Linked DNA regions of Caenorhabditis elegans. The protein of the gene in region 2 purifies or fractionates together with the protein of the main gene of each other region. This does not show direct contact. Each region holds a gene or a part of one and is shown on either strand. Other genes may lie near its edges.

Region 1 (11,029 bases), on a different chromosome or scaffold from region 2:
GTTCAACAAACCGGTGAGTTTTTGTTTTTCAAAACTAGTGTTTCCTCAAATGAAATTAAAAAAGTACAAATGTCTTATTTTCAGGAACATGGGGAATAGGCTTAGGACAAAAGCAATCACCATTCGACAAAGTCCCATGCACTGAAAAGTTTTGGGGAATCAGAGATAATGGAGACATTGCAAAGGAAAATGAGGTCGTGGCAAAAATGACAAAAACTGTGGAGGAAGGAGATGTTGTGGTGCGTTTTATAAGCAGAAAAATGGAATTATTTCGTACTTTCAAAACAAATTGCTAGTTTTTTTTAAAGCTTAACATGTCTTACAATGGAATACAAATAATGTGATACAATTTCAAGTAACGATTGCAAATACTCAAATATAATTTGAAGTTTAAAGAAAAAAAAACAAAAGTATTAAACTATTTGTTACCAAGTAAATCTGTTAAAAACTCAACCTTTCAGGGTGTTGCATATGACCACGTGGAGCTCAAGTTCTATGTAAACGGAAAAGCAGTGGAAGATGTGATAACTGGAGTTCGAGGCCCGGTATGCCAAGAGATTATTTGAAGGGATTAAGAAATCACTTAGGAACAGTGCCTAATAAGATTAAGATTCAATATTCATTCGTTGCGCTCAACTTTTTAATATGATCCCTGGCTTGGAATGCAACCATTTGGACACAAACCACAATTTTCCTAATCAATTTTTTTATTGAAATTGTTATCATTTTCAGGTTTACCCTATGGTGTATGTTGACGACTCAGCAATTCTCGATCTCAAATTCAAAAACTTCACGGAAGCTCCACCAGCGGGATTCGGAGAAATTCTCGTGGAACAAACTATTCTATAAATCTTGCCTGATTTTAAAACCATTGACCGTGATTTCCTTCGCTCTTGTGACTTGTCAATAATGATTTTGAATTTCATTGAAACTCCTTAATTTAATCTAAACAAATATGTTCTTATTATTATCAAATAGTATTGAAATTAACACTTCAAAATTGTAAGTTACAATTTCCGTGATGGAGAGTAAAAAATACTAACTTAATACAAACTTTCAGTTCAAACAGAAAATCTGAAATTTTAGGCATGTGGCTGACCGCACTTTTTTAGATGCAATATAACCGATTATTTGTTTTCATATTTACTTACATTTCATAACTTTAAAATTGATCCTGAAAATCAGTTTTTTTGATTGAACTGAAAACTTCTGGCACCTGGAAAAATTTTGTTATTAAATTCTGAAAGCGCTTAGAATTTGAAACAAGTCCCCGAAGAAACATTTTCAAAAAAGTTCATTTTAAGTCAGATATTAATTTTCAAAGTTACACAAACTAAATAAATCTCCTAATAAACAAATGCGGTCATTTATATGGCTCAAATTCAGTTTTCTGGATTGAACCTAAAACTTCTGGCACCTGGAAAAATTTTGTTATTAAATTCTGAAAGCGCTTAAAATTTGAAACAAGTCCCCGAAGAAACATTTTCAAAAAGTTCATTTTAAGTCAGATATTCATTTTCAAAGTTCAGAGTTCAGAGGTAAGAACTTGTTCAGATTTTTTGCAAATTGATCAAATTGAAGAAAATTGATTTTTGATGCCGCATTATGTTTTGTTATATTCAAGTAATCCTGTTGTTATTAAATATCAGGTCACCATTATTGAGTGTTTCTCCGCATTTTGAAAGTAATTTTGAAAATAGAACAGATGAGTTCCTTTTATAGATACATTTATCATTATTTAATTCAAAAAGTTTACAACAAAATTATTATAATGATAATTAGAAAAATTCTGGGGAAAACGATAAGATGTTGGGATATCGGAAAAACCACAGAATGGATGTATCAATTGTTATGTGGGTACAAATTGGGGTACAAAAGAAAAATTTTAGGTTTTATGGGAGGATGGGGAGGGGTGAGAGTTGCAATAACTTATATAAGTGGGAATATACTTATTAACACAAAGAGCATATTATTAGGCGGGAAATGACAAAGTTGCACATTGTTGCACAGAAATATCAAAGCATTCAGAAAGAAGCATCTAATTTCAATGAAATTGCTGGCTGGCGGGGGTGAGACGATTTGTTCTGAGCTTGGGCTTCGGAGTACATTACAAGGCCGAACAAATTACCATGTTAAAAATTAGTTGCAATCTCTAGGTTTCCAAGTTTTTGATGAAAAAAAAAAAAACACCGAAATTCTGGAGAAAGTAACAAAGTACACATAAATGTTGAATTGGATTGAAGTGAGACAAGAGAGAGGACCAGAAAAGAAAAAATATTTTTTTTTAGGGATTTTCAGATGAAACTATACACATTCGTTAAAGAAATCAGCTTCAACGCAGTTCAAGACAATTTTAAATACCAAGCAAGAAATGTGAAATTGAAATAAAGAAAAATAGAAGCATTTTTTTGAATTTTTTGAATTTTTTTCCTTTTTTTTTAATTTTTTCTCCAGATTTTTAAATTTTTTTGGGGTTTTTTGTAAGATTATTTGAAGAAAGTACAATAGGAAATGGGAAGGTAAAAAAATTGGATGAGAAATTATGAAATGCAGAATGAATACTGCTTTCAGTACCAAAAAGTATAGCCAACAATTTTTGCTCTGAATATCAGAGAATATTACGACCTTGGCATGCAAGATGAAGTTAGAGAGCTTAGTTTTTAGCAGTTGGAGCAGAAGTAGAAGCAGCAGCACTCTGAGCATTGGTGAGCACTCCAAAGGCTTCCTCGACCTTGCTTCTGAACAACTCAGCGTCTTGGAGCATCATGATCAACTCGGCGTTGTCAATCTCCAGCATCATTCCAGTGATTTTGCCGGCCTCCTTGTGGTTCGGGAACATCTTCTCGATAAGAGCATAGATACGCTCTCCGAGAAGTTGCTTTTGCTCTTGTGGAGCAGCTTGAGCAAGCATATGGGAGGTAAGAGTCTCCTGTCCGTGAATAACGATTCCGGATTGTCCTTGTCCTTGTTGTCCTGGCTGTTGTGCTGGTTGCTGGGAGTGCTGTTGTGGTTGTTGCTGGCGTGGTGGTCCTTGGTAGAACGGCTTCTGTGGTGCTCCGCGTGGGGCTGGTCCTTGCTGAAAAATAGAGAGTAGTATTCATTTTATCTGGATTAAAGCTTACTTGACGAATAGGTGCCCCTCCCATCTGCACTCCAGGTCCTCCGACACGTGGTGCTCCGGCTGGTCTTGGAGCCATTCCATATTGTGGACGACCATCGTTGGTTCGCATTGGTGGACGTCCCTGTTGTTGTGGGTAAACTTGGCGCTGATTGAATGGATATTGCATGAACATCTGGTTTTGGAACACGCGTTGTCCTGGTGGTCCGCGAATTTGAGCAGATTGTGGCTGGAATCCTGGACGCCCTTGAGCCTGTAAATTAAGAAATTAAGACATTTGAATTAACTTTGTAGAAACGTACATTCATTGGATTTGGAACAAAGTATCCTTGTTGTCCTGGCTGGTAGAGCTGAGTCATTGCTGGAACTCCGCTGGCCTGCTGTCCCATGCGAAGAGTTGCAAGTCTTTGCATGTACTGAGATGCCAACTGAGCACGACGATCCTCCTTGCGTTGAGCAAGGGCCACATACAGTGGCTTGGCTCCAATCATTTTGGAGTTCATATCAGTGACGGCAGCGGTTGCCTCTTCTGGCTTCTCAAAGCACACGAAACCGAATCCCTTCGATCTTCCGTTCTCATCAACCATAACTTTAGCAGAAGTGATTGTTCCGAAGGAAGAAAAGTGATCACGAAGACCATCATCGTTGAGATCTTCCTCAATGTTCTTGACGTACAAGTTTACTCCTTGATAACGCTGGACACGCTCTTGCTTCAAAGCTTCGTACTTTCTCTTGAGCTCTGCAGAACGCTCAGACTTCTTTTGAGCTCTGCAGACTGAAAGCTTGCAGTCAGTTCCTTCCAAAATGCTGTCGTTGAGTTTTTCAACAGCTTGACCAGCGGCATCCTGATCAGCAAAAGCGACAAATCCAAAACCTTTTGGTTTGCCTTGCGCATCGGTCATCACTACGGCACTAGTAATCTCTCCAAACTTGGAGAACATTGCGGAAAGCTTTTCCTGGTCGAGATGCTCGCCGAAGTTCTTGACGAAGACGTTGGTGTACTTGAGGCCACTCTCTCCAAGCTCCTTCATGCGTTGTGCGCGAGGTTGGAATTTTCCGACATAGCTGAAAATTTAAACGATTAAACTTGCAACTCAATAGGGTAAACTTACACTTTCTTATCAGAAAGAAGCATTCCATTGACTTTCTCAATGGCAGTTTGCGCAGAGTGCTCAGTCTCGAAGTGAACAAATCCGTATCCTTTGCTGTTTCCTTCATCGTCGGTGGCAACTTTGCAAGACAAAATGTTTCCAAAAAGCGAGAAAGTGTCGTAGACGGACTTGTTGTCAATGACACGATCCAAGTTCTTAATGAAGATGTTTCCATTTCCGGCACGGCGAGCAGCAGGGTCACGTTGGGACCACATGATACGCATTGGACGTCCGTGGATGACTTCGAAGTTCATAGTGTCCAAGGCGCGCTCGGCTGTAAGAATTATTATATTCCATGTGATAAATTGAAATAAACATATTTTTATGAGTTGTCTTCCTCATTTTTATATAACAAGCATTCAAATTTTCTAGCACCTGGTATGCATTCTATAAACACTTGTTTCCCACAGACTACGTCATACTGTGACGTGGCAACTCTTCTAGTGGCTCTCTTTATTGCGCAATTCTGCACAGAGAGATGTGTGAGCAGAACGGGGACTGTTGTTGCGAGGTGAGAGAGCACGGTTTGGTACTGGTGTGTTCATGTGATATATGTACAACGTCCCCTGTTGTGCATACAACAATCTTCCCTTTCGCTGTGCATTGCGTCTCAGATGTTAAAGAGCTATCTCACAAAATTTCTGAATTTAATCAAAATGCAAACTCACCATCAGCAGGCTGCTGGAAGTTGACGTAGGCATACCCGAGCGACAAGCGGCTGGTATTGTCGCGGCACACTCGGATTGAAAGCACCGGTCCCGCCATACTGAACTTCTCGAATAGCATAGCCTCTGAAACATCGGGATGAAGATCACCAATGTAGAGTGAAGCCATCGAATAGGTTGCATTTGGCGGGTATCCTATGTTTGTTGGCGGTGGACCCTGCTGAATGACGGCTTGTGGTTGTCCGGCAACTGCACCGGCGACGACGGTTGCTGCTGCGGTCGGTGGTGGAGCACTGGTAACCACTTGAGTCATTGGCGGTGGAACTTGGGCCATCGTACTGAAAAATAGAAAATTGCTAAAAGGACGAGAGCAGGAAAATGTATTGTGAAACCAAATTCACATAAGAATGAGCAAAATGGGAGAAACTAAAGTGACTGAACAAGGGAAGGCGTGAATGAAGGCAAGTAAGAAAAAAGGCGTGCAGCCCTCCTTTCCTCATCTTTCGCCCACATTTATAAATGGAGTGGAAATTGGGTGCAATGCTCAAATGCCCTGGCGTGTCAACGACGTATCTTTATTGTGTTGGAATGGGCATGAAAATTGCTTTCTACTGTATTTTTACGAGATTATAGAAATCCATAAGGAACATGGAAAGTCGAACGTAAAAAGATTAGGATGTGAAACATCCGATGCTAAGGCAATAGGAAAAGAAAAAAACATCGGAGTCAATGATGGAAAACCGGGAGTGAACAAGGAGAAGAAGCCCAGCCAACACTCTTTCTCTTTTTCTTCTTTTTGCCCCGCTGCTTTTTATCGTCTATTGAATATATAGATATATTGCTGTTGCAGCATGGGCCTGCCTCGGGAGCGAGGGGACGACGAACGATCGCGTCAGGCGCAACAGATAGCGACAATAGTTTTGCGGAAGAAGAAAAAACCGAGAGAGGAGAAGAAGAGAGTGAAACGAATTAACAGGAAAGGAAACCAAAAAGAGTGGGAGAGAATACTGTAGAAAATGTATAGTTTTATGGATGATTCTAATTCACTCGTGTATTGACAATCGCCTATCGAATTGATTGGTTTTTGATCTCCCTCCCCCTTACTATTCTTCGCTATCTGTTCAGGATCTACTGTCGTCGACACAAGCCTCACCCTCTTCCTTACACCACGGAGGAAGAAGACGATTGATATTATCTGAGCCGCTAGAGAAGCAGGACAAGGAATGCGGCTGTGTTGTGATGATTGGTGGCGGTGATGATTCGACAATAACTAAACGGACTGCGGCGAAAGGAGAGGAGCGAATGAGGGGCCCAGTGAGATGATTCATGCATTCTCTTCAACTGCCACAACATATAAACATGACGGTTTTATGGCTGCTTCGCTCTCGCTCGGCGCCCTCGTTTTTCAATTTTTGACGTGTTGGAACCGAACGGAAACAAAATTGGAAAACAGAATGATAGCGAGCAAGGAAAAGGACACCTATGTTATTGTATAGAAACATGTGATTCTGGGCCCTATTTTGCCTATTTTTATCATTTGCAGTCTCCGTCATATGGTGTTTTTGTTCGATAATTGCGAAATTTACAGAGAAGTGAGAAACACTTATTGCTAAGTCTGAATATGGGAAGAGCTGAAAGACGTTCGATAATGATAGGACAGGTTTATTGAAACTTGGTTGATGAGTATTCAAGCATTTCTACATATTTACTTCAAAAAAAAACTTACTTCTTTGTTGGTTCGTTTGCAGGTGATGATTTCCAATCAGCAAGAATATTAGTTGATGTTGAGTTTTTTTTTTGGTTTTTGTTGAAGTTTTTGATTAAAGTAGTCTAATTTTTTTGGGTTTTTTGGGGAATTTAAAGGTTACAGTGGAGGGGTAGATAGTCTCTCCGGGACACAACAATATAGACGTGTCAGTCGTGTGTGTGTGCCTAGTCCGTCCGCGTCGCTCAGCACGCTACGCAGAGAGGTCGCAGCAGAAGCGAGAGATGTGATACGCAGAGTCCGTATGGGCGGTTGGAGGGGAAGCGAAAACGCTGCTGCTGCCCCCAACAGGCAGCGTTGGTGTCCGTTGGTTTATGTGTGTGTCTCTGGCTATCTCTATGTCTCTTTTCTCTCACTCTCTTTCCTCTTTTGCAATGTGTTTTTGGCTTGCTGGTTATATGTGACGTGTGATAAGGACTGAGGGACCGGGGAAGCTTCCATAAAAAGTCTGAGAAGTCACAAGACCTGACGATAGTCTTCCATTCTTATTTTTGGATAAGGCAACGTAGGACACTTGTTTATTGATTTTCGAATTTTAATGTTCAGTATTTTCAATCAGTGTGGCGCCCCGTGCCAAGTTGTTTCGAATATTTTCGAAAATGTTCACACGCTCAATGTCTGCGCTTCTCCAACTGTCTCATATCACTAATTTGCGAACAAACATGTTGCTAAGGGTTGTGTAATGTGACACAATAGGACTAAGGCGGTCAGATTTAGTTTTCATGGAGACTGCGAGTAGTGGCCTCAGTTTTTTGAAACAGAAAATATATTTCTACAGATTTTCCAATCTATTTTGCTAGTAGGCTCTGTAAACTATAAACCAAATTGAGATACATATCTAATACATATGTATAAAATTTCACTGATTTCGCATTTGAAGATATGATGCAAAAATCAAAGCTTGCACCTTTTCACTGGCTTGCAATAGTTTTTCAGATGTGAGTATTGAGTTTTCATACAATTATTCAGTCTACAACTAAACGTGAAGCACCTAAAATAGTCCATCGAAGTATTCAGACGTTAAGTTATGCAGAGACAAGTTAGTTAAAAAATTATCGCTGTTTGCATTGAAATTGAACTTGATGACCAGCGTTAGGCTTTCTAATCAAGGCGTACTTACACTATTCTTAAAGTTTTATTGCTTCAATTAAATTTTGGTCTATCCTAGCTTAATGGTTTTGGCGGGTTACCAATTGGCTTTTTAGATTTTGTTATTCAGCTTGATAAAAAACAATCATTTTCATCAAAACATTTCAACATAAATCACTGTGTTCTTAAAACAGTATGTCATTTTGAATGATTAGATTGTGTTTTATATATTTTTTTTCTTATAGATTTTTTTTGAAGAATCAAATAGCTAAATCAGAATGTGTTACCGAGTGCATAAACCACAATAGAGACACAAGATTCCGTCCATCTGATAAGAAAGACTACTCTGGCCTTGCAAACTTTAATACTGATCAAAGTGGCTATGAATCATCCTTGATAAATAATCGGAGTCTCCGCCAGAAGGTTCGATGGTCACTCTCCGGGGTTTTCCACGTGATAAAACTGTTTGATCAACCGATTTTCGCGCCGTTTCAAACTCCACTTTTTCTATCACCTACACAAGTGCACTTTTTTCTCCTTTTTTCCTCACTATTCATACTTTCGTCGTTTTTTTCTTTTTGCCTTATCACTCCCAACTCCTCTCTTCTATCTTTTCTCTCACTGTCATTTTCATCTTTTCTTCAAGGATCGCTTCTCCAACCTTTGTTTTTGGTTTTGCATATGTGTTTATTATTCTTGTCAGGAATTCTTCAAATCCACAATTCGCCCAATTCGTTCTTTTTTCTAGGTAATAGGAAAGAAATGCATGAGAACCGACCACTAGATGATATCATAGAAGTTAATGAAAAGACTGGTACAAACCCACCAGATCGTCAACGGTTTGAAAATGATTTGGAGGGGTTCCACTCGGAAATTCGAAAGATTCGATCTCAGGTTGGATTCAATTTCAGAATTGTTCTTATGAATTTTATTAATTTGCTAGATCCAAATGCGATGCAAAACATGCCTAGATGCCAACCCACTTGAAAACGAGATGAGAAACAAACGTAACCAACTCCGAGTTGATCTTGCACAGTTGAAAGGAGACGGGGATAAGATCAAAGTGAACATTGATAGCCAGGTAAGATCATGAAGCAAAAATGATGCAAATAGTTGCCCAATTGAAATGTTGAAAAAATTACAAAAAAGTAACTGTGTGTTTTAAACTGGGCAGTTACGCGTTGGTACCGCACTGAACAACTAATGCGAGCCGAAGGGAAACAGCTGAGAGCATACAATGCGGTCAACGCTTGTGTGTTTAAAACCGTCTTTGCAATCCAGGCTGAGTAGTACAAAAGTCTAAATGCTTCTGGGGGTTTTTTTTTGTAAAACAACGATGCTGAAAAAATTAAAATTAATATCAAAATAATAGAAAATATCTGGGATTTTCAGCTTTTTCTTTGTAAAATTTGTGTATCAAACGATGTACATGGAACAATAATATAAACTAATCAAATTAAAAAAAAAAACAATAGATTTTTACAAATAAAGTTGTAAATTTACTGTGACCTACAAATATTGAGAACAAAACCTGTAGTTATTCAACTTGATAAAATAAATATTAATAATAGAATAATGCCTTTGTGCAGTGATCATTGTGAAACAAAACTGTACATTAAAATTTTTACAGAGAACAAAGCAGTTGGATTTGGAGCGCGATTGCCGCATCCGAAACAAAGATCATTTAGATCGCCTGCTCCTGGAGCATCAGGAACGATACAAGCGGAACCTGTCGGCTCGCGATGAACAGGCATTAGTAACGGAAATCGATGCGTTGAAGAGAAATAAAAAGTTGTTGGAGTACGATTTTCATGTTCTTAGTTGAAAAAATATAGCGATATGATTTCAGGTCATTGGCTGAAATCACATCTCATCGTAAAGGAATGGATCAGGAATTGGAGAAGAATCGCATACAGAAACACGTTAGTATATTATTAATGATAAAAGAGACTGTGGTACTCATCCCATCAAATTCAGAAAGTCTACTTTGAACTCACTAGCTGCCAGAACCGATTTAAGCAAATGAAGCAAGAGCGGCGACACATTGAAGATGAGATCCGGGACCTCAAGCATCAACTACAAGGTGCAAATTCCCGCCGCAAATCTTTGATATCCACCTACGAGGATGACAGAGAGGAATACAAAAACTGGCTGAACGACAACAAACTGAACGGCAATAGCGTGCCAATGTCATTCCCAAGCGCACGAAAAATAAGTAAGTCGGATTGGGTTGCGAAATCATTTTTTTCCAGTTGTCAGAGACCGAAACGTATGCATTCGAAATTGGTCAACTAGAACTTTCACATTTCACAATATCTAAGACAATTTTTTTTTCAGAAGCGCCAATCGATGTGGAGGAATTGGAACCATATTACGAACAAAAACGGGATTGCAATCGTCTTATCAAGTACTTAGAGCGTCTTCCAACAACTTTACAGAAAGATGAAATAGTCAAACCAGCAACAACTCAACCGCCAGCACTCATCGATGATGACGATGATTCCGCCGATGAGCTCCCACCACAACTAATCAAGCTTAATCAAAAAGTGGTTCCAGCTCCAATTGTTAAGAGGAACTTCAAAAAACCAACGCAGCCACTTTCTCATAACATTGACATCTACAATCTTTTTGGATCGGTCAATGTGGACGTTCCGAAGGTCTATGCCGACGTCGGGGCAGCCCTTAAAGCAGTGAGTTTTAGGAATAAAAGAGTTAGAAAAAGACACATTTGAAACATATTGAGAACAATTTCTCGCAACTTTGACAGTGAGAATATTATGTGCTAATTGTTGGAAAAGGGTACTAAGTATGTAATTAAAAAAAAAAACGCCAAACTCACATTATTTCAGGTGAAAGAGAAACTCGACTTCTACAACCAGCAAACCACCAACGAACTGGACTGGGGAGAGGAGCTAGGCGGGATGGGTAAGATTTCGAAACACTTTTTCTTTCGACACCTTCTCAAACAATGATGCAATTTCAGAATTCCTATCAGTCTCACGCACTGCAAGCGACATGGACTCACACATGGATGACTCCATTTCTGATGTTGGGAGCATGTCCAGCTTCTACCGATCTTCTAGCAGAACGAGCTGTCCATCACCACTCACAACTGACAACTCACCGAAACGATTCGTGGCCCCACTGCCTCCACCGTCTGAGGTCAAAGACAGCCCAGTGTAGTTGATATTTGAGAATTGATGCCTTTACTACGTATTGTATTTAAAAATTAAAAATCTCC
Region 2 (10,855 bases):
TCCTTCAAGATTGCTTATATCAAACTACCTTCTTTACACAGAACCCAATTTTTAGAATAATCTTTCACATTAACCCAATTTTTATGTTTTTCTTGACGATTAATATTATTTTTATTTACTGAAATACTCTTACTTTCCTTTGCGTGACTTTCATACTTCCATTAATTAATTTCCAGAGACTTTCAGGTCCGTTGCACCATGTCCGACGACGAAATCGTTTGCATTTTAGACACCCGTAACAATCAAAAAGAAAAAGACCGGCAGATAACTCGTGAAGTGAACAATTTGATAATTGAACAAGAAAATACTCAGAATCGTGTCATTGCTCCATCTCCACAATTGATGGTTGCAATCAGACAATCTGTTGAGCAGAGGCAAGAGTATATTAGAAGAATGTCAATTGATATTCAAAGAATGTTGATTCCGTATGGAGAAGATGTTTATTTGATCAGTGATATGATGGTATGATATTTTCTTGCCGATAGCGGAGGCGGGGCGTAGCTTGCAAACACGCGGCGCGGTTTTTCCGATTTTTTTCAATAATTTTTAAAAAATCTAGTAGAGCTTTTTCTCCAAAAACATGTTTTTTTTGCATTTATTAGCACTCTGTTACTTTTGGCGATTTTTTGAGAAAGGCTCGTCTAGAATCAGTTAAATTTTTTTCTAGAACTATAGGCAGGTAGGGGAATTAGGTAGGCTTCATGTAGGCACATAGGTCAGCACTTAGGCAGGCAGGTATAGGCCCGGTTTTTCCAAATTGTTTTTTGAAAGCTGTGGTTTTTGTGGTTAGGTTTTTGCGATGAAAATGAAATATCAGTCTTTGTATTTATCGCAGAAGTTTAATATTTTTGTCCGGAGCCTGCCTGTTTGTCTAAGTGCCTACCTACTTGCCTACGTACTACGTTCTAACAACGTTTTCATCTGATTGTAGGGAAACCTCTGATAGGTTCATATAAGCTCATAAAAACAAAACATATCGCAAAACGATGAAAAATTCAAAATATGACAAAAAAGCACCGAAAAACGTTGCATATAAAATTTAGAAAAATCAGGTAACTTGAAAACTGCCATATTTCTGGGAAGCAAAATAGGGAATACATATATGTATGTAGTTACAAAATTTTTCAGCTCTTAAAAGAGGAAGTCGTGCAACATATTGATTTCCAATTCCTCAAAAATAAAGTGGTACCGCCACCGCCCGTGTTCTACAGTAGTGTAAGTTTTCTATAATACTTTACCAATTTTCCAAACTCTCGAATACATAAACTATTTGTAAAATCCCCCGGAGGTATTGAAAATTAGAATTTTCTTAAATGTTTGTTTAATATTTAGAAAACCTTGGAAAAAATTAATATAAAATGATGTACAATTTAAAAAATTCCAAAAAAACTATTATGTTTTAAATTTTGAATTTTCAGACAATCTACTTTTTGTACAAACAGGCGACTTGTCAAAGAATGGGCCCGATTTATCTGCAACAGCTTGGTAACGTTGTGGTATTGAATTTTCAGTTTATGAGAAGCTGAAATTAAGAATTGAATTTCTAGACTCTCCGTATAAAGGAAAACTATCCGGCCATCAAGACTATCTCGGATTATCCTTCTTTGAAATCAATTATTGAATTTTAGTATGTTTTTTAAACTTTATTTTCAGAAGAACCCACTTTTTGAATATTAATTTCTAGAGTGAAAATTTTAAAAATGTTTTTTTCAGTAGTCGCTTCGAAATGGGAAATGGTCCGGATTTTTTCGTCAAAAAAGAAGAGTCACAAAGACAGTTTGAGGTAAATTTAAATTAAATTATTATATATTTTTAATTTTTGAAAGTTTTTCTTTTTATTTCCAGGTTGTCCTTGGCGAGGCGTTTCAGTACATCAACTTGTTTCACAAGAAACACGGGACACCACCTGCACCTCCACAGTTTCTGATTAAAGTGAGCTAGATGCTAGGGTATCAGCCTGTTGCATGATCAATAAATTTCAGTTCTGCATTCTCATGCATCAACTAGGATTTCAAGAATGGACAGCCGAGAGCTTTGACGTAATTGTGGTGGATAGATTGGTGAGCAAATAAATTTGAATTTTTGTGAAATTAATTTTTATATTTTTCAGAGGAGAAACCTTCGGAACATTGATCAACGTTTCTTTGATTCAATTCGAGATGCTTTTGGAATTTATCTGAAGCGTTTTTAAATGTTATTGTTTTTTTTGTTTTCCATTGGAATGTTTGAATATTGAGTGAATAAAATATATTTTGAGCGAAATTTAATGAGTTTAATCTTGATTTAAGTATATTTTGGAAACCTGCGTACTTCTGAAGATGCTTCTAAAAAAATCGGAAATTTTGTATGACGAAAGTTTCAGATTTTTTACGATAGACTGTAAGTATAAATATTAACAACACAAAGTTCTGAGAATTTGTATTGCGAACGCGCAAAATATCTCGTAGCGAAAACTACAGTAATTCTTTAAGTGACTACTGTAGCGCTTGTGTCGGTTGGTTTACGGGCTCGATTTTTATGTTTTTTAATCATTGATTTATGGATAGAATATTATAATTAAGCAAAAAAAAAGGAATATCGCTGTCACTAATCGAAAATAAATTAATTTCAAAAATCGACACAAGCGCAACTGTAGTCATTTGAAGAATTACTGTAATTTTCGCTACGAGATATTTTGCGCGTCTTATATGTTGCGCAATACGCATTCTCTGAATTTTGTATTCCCGTAATAAAACAGCTGTGATAAAAAACATGTAGAAGCCAAGAAGAGCATTCTTATTCAGAAAAAGCAAGGTTTAACATGCTTTGAAACACAAAGAAAATTTCAATTTCCAGATTGTTCAAAAATCCCTATTTTTATTGCTTTCTCTGGTGGTCAAGTGAATGAAAAGATCTTCCCTGAAACTTCTGAAAAATTGACTACAATAATTTCTAGGAATGTTCGAATTTATATAAGGAAAATACATTGGAAATAAAAATATAATGACAAAATTTAGATCCACTTCTCGCTGTCATCCTTTTTGATTTGCTCCTTGAGCTCAGACTCGGCTTTATCGTCAATTTTGCTGAGAGCTCTGAATCCTTCATCACCAACAAAACAGATTTCATGCTCATCTGGATCGGCAAGAATCACAACTTGAACATCGGCTTTTCCTGGAGTTTCGAGAGTTGTGAGCTCGTTTATAATAGTTCCATTGGCTGATTTGATCTTGTCTTGGAGAGATTCGAGCTGGAAAATTAAATATTTAGATTTTTAATAGAAAATATCAACAATTACCTTATCTTCAGGATAACTGAATGCAATTCTTCCGAATCCAGTTTTTCGATCAATTTTATCCTGAGACTTCACAATCTCCAGCTCACACTGTCCATCACCATAGCTCATTCGAATTCTGCTCGACTTTTCCTCAACAATCGGCATTCCGAGAGTTTCATTCCAATATTTCTTGGATTTCTCTAAGTCTCCAACATTCACTTGAACTCTCAACACTTTTGGCGATTGATCAGCCTTTCCGATCTTGAATTCGTGGCCATCTGGATCCTTCACAGCTAGTCTTCCACATCCAGATTTACGATGATTGATTTTTTCGACTTTTTCGAAGAGTTGATCAGAATCGATGACGATTGCCTGAAATAAAATTGTATTAATAATATCAAGACTCAAGCTTTCTTACTCTATAATCATTACCCAACTCATACTTATGAATTGGATAATTATATGTGATCTCTAGAACAAAATGCTCATCCTCTGAGCCATATCCAATCATTGTCTTGCTCCATCGTCCGTTATATGGTCCATTGCAAGTTGCTTCGCATCCTTTTTCGAATTCCTCGTGGCGAAGAACCTGAGAGTTAATTTACAGCTTAAATAAAAATTATGTGAATACTCACTTTCATATTCAGAACATTTGTGAAAAAGTCGATGGTCTTGGCACGATTCGCCACTTTGAAGACGTAGTGAAGAGCGCGAGCTGTCATTTCTGGAGAATAATAATACAATTATTTTTCGATTAACTTCAAGGGATGTTCACTCAAATGAATGGGTCTCGCCGCGCTCACTTAAGATTACTGTAGGAAATTCAAGTACAAATACAATAATGGGTCTCGAAACGACCAAAGCTTCGAAGCTACCGTACCCGTATATTTATATTTTTAAAAATTGTCTAAAAATATTAAAAGTATATGGGTTCTAAATTTTGGAATATTCAATAAAATAAATATGGAGGAGAATATTGTGAGTTACTGAAAAGATAGATTAAATTAACGGAAAATATACCATATGGCGAAAAAACTATAGTTTTTCAAAATATATCGATTTAAATTTTTTAAAAAATTAATATTTCTCTAAATTAATAAGAAATTATCGTATATTATTGAAAACTCTATTTTTTCTCGAAAGATTAAAAATTGAATCTCGGGGAGTTTAAAAATGCATAGCAACGAAACATCGATAAAAATCTTGCAGTAGAAAAGAGAAAAAGCGAGCGGAGGAATAATAAAATGAAGCGATTTCTGCAGTATTTATAGTGAGTGTTTGGAGGCCGACCCGCGCGCTCATTGATGTGTTTTTTTGCTTTTTAAAAATCGCGAATGAACCAGAAAATATAAAAACAACATGGCAAATACCTCAAAAATCAGTGCGAAAGACTGCGAGGAAAACAAGAAAACAACGAGTCAATTTATTTGCGAACAGAAAACTGGGGAAAATTGAAAAAGAACAAAACTACGGAACATTTGGAATTCAGGGAGCTAAATACGACAAAAAAAAGGAAAAAAGTCAAATTGAAAGCGATAACCATAAAGTAGAATTTGAGTTTTCAGAGAGAAATAATCAATTTCCACCAAATGCTAAACGTTTTCACTTAATTCAATATCTATACGGGGGAACTGTGATTAGGCATATCTGGCCTTGCATTGCTTGAAAATATCATTGAATCCGTTGCACAGAGAAACATCAGATTGGTTTTGTGCGCAGTCCACAAATTGTCTCCACTCGAATTCGCATGGCTGCGAGTAGCCAGAAGCTTGTGGAGCACCGGCTGGAGCAGCAGCAGCAGCTGGAGCTTGCTCGGCATGAGAGCTACCGCCTCCGGTGAACATTCCTCCGACGGCGTGACCCTGGAATTTTAGAATTCGATATTTTAATTAAGTGTTTCCCAAATTATGGTCTTGGAAATAGGTTAGCTTCGAAATCCGGGGAATATATATATATTTAAATAAAACTACTCACAACAGCGGATCCAATGGCGACTCCTCCGGCGGTTGCAGCCATTTGCTTCATCAATCCTGGTCCCTGAGATGGAGCACCCATTGGGGCTCCCATTGGAGTTGGAGCTGCTGGTGGATGATAAGCTGGAGCAGCGGCGGCTGAAATATTATTTTAAGAGTTTTTGAAAAAAAATAATGGCTTAAATTTTACCTGGTCTTGGTGGTGGAGCGGCGAAGGATGACTGGGCGGCTGGACGTGGAGCCGATCGAACTGGGGCCGATGGAGATGGGGAAGCAGTGCGCCGACGAACCATTTTCTGAAATTGATAGAATTTCAATGAAGATTTCAAATAATTAAAACTGTGAACGAAAAAAGCCAGAAGATAAAATATTCGAATAAATTGAAACATTCTAAATTAACTTTTTAGTTAAAAATGACAGAAATCAGGAACTCTGTAGCCTCCACTAGTCTCGAAGAGCATTTATATTGTCCGAGTAGTGACGAAATAGTTCAAAAATCACTTGTCTGTTCAATGTGATGAGAGATAAGATTGCGAAATACGACAGGGAAACAAAAAATTGAGCTAAATCAAGCGAAATCATATTAGAATCATTAAATATAAATACAAGCTTTTCAAAGTTTGTATTATGCATTTTACAACAAATAAAAATCGTAATAAAAGCGTTGTAAGACTATTTTTTCTATTTTCAAAATTTACGTATCCGTGATGATAAAATTTAGATTGGAAAATCAACAATCTACTCATTTCTATAATTTTTAATTAAAAATTGAATCAATTCAAATAGTTTATTTGTCAAATGCCTACAAAAATGCCATTCGATTTACTAGCGGAAAGAAAAAGATGGAATGCCGGGTACGAATCAATCGATACAAGCAGCCAAAAGGTAAAATTATGTTGTGTAAAGCTGAAAACGTGGAGTTTAGCTCAAGAGGAGATTCTTAGTATTTTTTCGGTCTGAAATGCATTTGTAAATTGAAATCAACAAATATATCTTTGAAGAAATGTGTTTAAATCATATAAAATACACATAATTGCTGCAACGAAGTAAAATACATTTTTCAGCTGACGGAAGTGGTGACGCCCATCACAGTCACGTGGGAAAACATCGAGTAAGTTGGAAAATTGACGAATAGTAACATCACATAACACGCCCAGAGCAATTTACTAATTTTTAAGTCATAATTTTTGTAAAATATAAACAAATCTTCAACACAAAGATCAAAAAACAAAGAAAATTCGAGAAAGAAATGATAAAAATGATGATGATTTGCGCGTAGGCTGTGATGCATTCCGCAGCGGTACGCAAACACCGCTTGCACACCGTAGTTCTGAGAAATACGCGGGTGTTTGAATTTAATATTTTCATATTTCAGGGTAAAAACTCGGAAAAAGCTATTTTCCAAAAAGCAGAAGCAACTGTTAAATAGAGTCTCGGGAATAGCAAAGCCAGGAGAAATGGTGGCATTAATGGGTGCAAGGTAAAACTTTAGTTATGTTATAGTTATGAAGTTATAGTTATGAAGCAATTTTGTTCAGCGGAGCAGGAAAAACCACTCTAATGAATGTGCTAATGTGCAGGAATATGAAGGGATTGGAGAAGAATGGAACCGTGAAAGTGAATGGAACAAAGATCGGGAAGGAGATTTCATTGATTTCTGGTTTTGCACAACAACAGGAGATTTTCATTCCAACATTGACTGTTGATGAATATTTAATGATCCAGGTCAGCATTTTTTTTCGCACGAAAATACAGTATTTGGTCTTGGCACGAATAACATTTTTTGAATTAATGTCACCTAAAATAACGTGCGCCTTTAAAGAATACCGTAGTTTCAAGTAAAAATACTATACGGAATGAAAAGTACAGTAACCTTTTAGAGGCGCGCATTCTTTTCTGGAGTTTTGATTTGAGAATACTTTGACCGTTTCAAGACCTAAAACTGTAATAATCAGAAGACAGTGTTTGATCTCCAGAACTCCCGATTTCTGAAGATCAAGCGTCAGCGCCTACTCGATACATCAAACTTTACGCGCAAACTCCCAAAAATTTCAGGCAAGACTTCGGATGAAAGCCAATAAACATACACGTAGAGAACGAGTGGATGAGATTATTGAAATGCTGAGACTCCAAAATTGTCGAGATTTGAAAATTGGAACACCTGGACTCGTAAAAGGAATTTCCGGTGGTGAAGCCCGTCGTTTGACATTTGCCTGTGAACTATTATCCAATCCATCACTACTTTTTGCTGATGAGCCAACGTCTGGACTTGATTCATTTATGGCTGCAAGTGTTGTACAAATTTTGAAGAATCTCGCGAATTCCGGTCGAACACTGATCCATCAACCTACTGCCGAGCTCTTTTTTCAATTTGACAAAATTATTTTCTTGTCGATGGGAAAAACCGCTTTTATGGGAACACCTCATGAGTCCGTGAAGGTAATTTTGAAATTTAAGAAATTATTTAAAGGCGCACGCCAAAAGGTCTTGGCACGACCGAAACTGAGGATTCAGAAAAATATTAGTGAATGTGGAATCTGCGAAAAAGTACAGTACTCTTCAAAGGCGCATACCGAAATGTTTCAGTCGTGTGGAGACCCTCATCTGCCTATAATTTTGAATCGAAAATCGAATTGTTCGGATACCCAACTATAATTTGAATTTACAAATTTTCGAATAAACCTTTTTTCCAGTTTTTCGCTGACTGTGGCCATCCAATTCCGAAATTATTCAATCCACCTGAATGGATACAATCCAAATTGTCAGTGATACCAAACAACGAGACAAAGAGTCGAGAAACAATTGGAAAAATTATTGAATTTTATGAAAAATCGATAATTCATCAGAAATCTATAGTGGAAATACGTGTGATTGCGACTACAGAGCTACCTCCATATATAGAGAATCCAGGATTTTTTGCCGAAACTGGAGCATTGTTAAAGAGGTTGGTTATCTGGAAAAATAATAGTTAAAGCACGCTTCTTTATGGTAAACTACGAAATGCACCATGTTTGAACCACAAACTGTTGCTGAACTTTGACATCCCATAGCTCAGTTGTTTTTGATTTTTCGAAATTTTGCCAATTGACAAAATATTTATCATGTATTTTTCTATAGTTTTGTAGTTCAACATTTTCTGATATCTATAAAATGACCCGAGATACTATAAGTTGCCAAAATTTTGTTTGGAAATCCTACCACGATTGCACTTTATAAAAAACCAGCTGTGGTCCGCACCTTCGGCGCGGCCCCCGACTTCTAGAGCTGAAAATTAATTTTTATGAAACTACCGTAACCCTACAGTATTCCTACCGTACCACTATTGTACCACTACAGTACCCCGACTATATCCCTACACTAACCCCAACTCACTATCCCTCCAGAAGTCAAAACTTCACAGACTACAAAGACTACATAGACTACAAACTATGGACACACAGAATAAGCGCTTTATATATAGTAAATGATGATGCACGCTTTTCTTTGCAAACCAATGGTGCAATAAAAATTTGATTTGCTTCTAACATTATTTTTCAGAGCTTGCCTCGATGTGATCCGTTCTCCAGCTCAAATGCGAATGAAACTAATTCAAAAAGTGGTGATGGGCTTATTCATCGGATCTCTTTATTGGCAACAACCACTTGATCCTCGAGGAGTACGGAACACAAATAGTGCTCTTTATTTTCTAATTGCGGAGCTCACTTTCTCCACGATGTTTGGAATTATGACATTTATGGAACATGAACTTCCATTAATTGCGAGAGAATATCATGATGGATTGTTTTATGTAATTAGTTATTATATTTCGAGGTTAGTTTAGAAAAGTGGAAAAGTACGGAAACATGACACGATATGGGAAGTTTTTCTATACGTTTATTTGAAAACTAAATATTTTGAGTGCACTGATAGGTAGTAAAACATCCGAGCATATGAAAAACAATGCTTCCATGGTTAGCACTGCATGCCTATGTGCCTATTTTCTGCCTACCGCCCATTTCTGCAATTTGACGCAAATTCCCGTGTTTGGATCAATTTTTCAGTTAAAAAAAATAGAGCAAGATTCACGTTGGTAGTAGGTAGAGCTTATAGTAGGCATTTTGTGACTGTACGAAACTAAAGACGAAGTATTAAAAAAATCAATATTAGGCTCTGCCCAAATAATGGTTTTTTGCGTTGTCAAGAAGAGCATCTCACAGTTGATAAATCTGATTCAACTTTCAGATTTCTGTCATATCTCCCATTATTTACAATCGACGGAGCTCTAATGATTGTAATATCATATTGGATGATTGGATTGAATAGTACTTGGCAACAAGTGGCTAAAAGTATTCTAATTTCTGTGCTCGTCGAGCAGTCTGCCACTTCGTGTGGCCTCTTCTTGGCTTGTCTATTCGAGACTACTTCGGTAAATTTTTAACATCAGATTTTTCAAAACACATGTTTTTTTTCAGCTGGCAATTGCTTTTGCCGTTCCAGCATCAGGCCTTTTTGCACTGTTGAGTGGATTATATGGAAATACGAATAACTTTCCAGTTTACATTCGGTGGATGCAATGGACTAGTTGGTGTAGGTTAGAAATTTTGCCCGTTTCTAGGCGTATGCGCTTTTGAACGGCTTCGTACTCACGACAAATGAATTTTCAGATATGGATTCGAAGGACTCGTCGTGAATCAGTGGTCTCAAGTGGACAATCCGAAATGGGATCCTTTCGTAAGTTCTATTTTTGTGACACATGCCACTTTAATCCTTTTTCAGTATCGAGAATTGATTCTGAAACAGTTCTCATTCAACAAAGACAACTATCAATTGGATGTTATTGGACTCTGCTCAATTGTGATCTTTTTCTATTTGGCTGGATATATTGCACTTTTCATTCGAATTCGATTATCTCGATGATTTTATTATTATGAACTTGTTTGCTGAACATTTTTGTAGCTCTTAATATATATTTGTTTGAAACCCCCCCCCCCCTGAGGTGTCGGCTGCAGATAAAGTCACTTTTTGCTCTTTTATCCTGAATCCGATACCAAAATCAGTACTGTATTTGAAATTGAAAATTGAACACAAAAAATCAAATTTTAAAATTTTTATCGAAATTTTTTTGTTTAGTGTGGGTGCATAGAAAGAATGTCAAAAAGGGGATGTGATGTGATTTTGGGATACGAAGAGAGAAAATTTCAAAAGAAAAACATACAAAGAAAAGGCATCTAGACGATCAGATTTTAAAAGAAAAATTGCAAAAAAAAACATTATATTAGGGGAAAACTGATGGAGAACATTGAAAAAAGTGTTGCGACATATGAACCCGCGAGAAAGACATGATGAAAACACGAATTTTGTTTTGTTTTTGAAGTTGAAATTGCAAAAAAAAAAAAGATTTGAAATACTTTTTGGCATTTGAAAGAAAACGTTTCCTTTAGTTTTGTGGGAGATGGAAAGAGATCACTAGTGGCTATCCGGGGGTATTAGATATGAGAATATTAGGAGGGGGTATAAAAGTGTGGTTATTGATTTTTGGTGGAAAATGAAAAAAAAAAACAAATCACACAGCTTTGCAAACCGGGAGTTGAGAGAAAATGAACGTTTTGAGATGGAAAATAGTTGAGAGTGGAACATGGTGCATCGA

Evidence for each region.
Region 1: the proteins of glod-4 (region 2) and pab-2 fractionate together in Caenorhabditis elegans (co-fractionation; one large-scale study listed by BioGRID). This does not show direct contact.

Annotation. Positions count from the first base shown.
Region 1 is NC_003284.9:13,520,552-13,531,580, forward strand, and holds pab-2 (Polyadenylate-binding protein), read right to left. Parts: upstream 5,273-11,029; 5' UTR 5,269-5,272; coding exon 4,938-5,268; intron 4,915-4,937; exon of another isoform or gene 4,708-4,914; intron 4,546-4,707; exon of another isoform or gene 4,544-4,545; coding exon 4,231-4,543; intron 4,184-4,230; coding exon 3,421-4,183; intron 3,372-3,420; coding exon 3,123-3,371; intron 3,077-3,122; coding exon 2,654-3,076; 3' UTR 1,711-2,653; downstream 1-1,710. Other genes in the region: F18H3.1 (SPRY domain-containing protein 7), read left to right, coding at 1-13, 85-239, 462-545, 733-849; F18H3.4 (Lebercilin domain-containing protein), read left to right, coding at 8,551-8,682, 8,732-8,869, 9,419-9,588, 9,638-9,710, 9,766-10,003, 10,126-10,478, 10,638-10,713, 10,772-10,971.
Region 2 is NC_003281.10:4,146,724-4,157,578, reverse strand, and holds glod-4 (Glyoxalase 1), read right to left. Parts: upstream 3,981-10,855; 5' UTR 3,979-3,980; coding exon 3,892-3,978; intron 3,846-3,891; coding exon 3,675-3,845; intron 3,629-3,674; coding exon 3,278-3,628; intron 3,230-3,277; coding exon 2,993-3,229; 3' UTR 2,929-2,992; downstream 1-2,928. Other genes in the region: C16C10.9 (uncharacterized protein), read left to right, coding at 199-462, 1,129-1,215, 1,419-1,496, 1,548-1,627, 1,714-1,783, 1,846-1,932, 1,983-2,060, 2,111-2,191; har-1 (Hemiasterlin resistant protein 1), read right to left, coding at 4,894-5,118, 5,231-5,367, 5,420-5,522; ABC transporter ATP-binding protein/permease wht-3, read left to right, coding at 6,028-6,114, 6,294-6,340, 6,605-6,709, 6,768-6,954, 7,285-7,668, 7,923-8,173, 8,767-9,039, 9,451-9,634 and 3 more. UniProt on the Caenorhabditis elegans protein: Thought to act as a glyoxalase. May remove methylglyoxal from mitochondrial proteins. Has roles in reducing oxidative stress and increasing lifespan.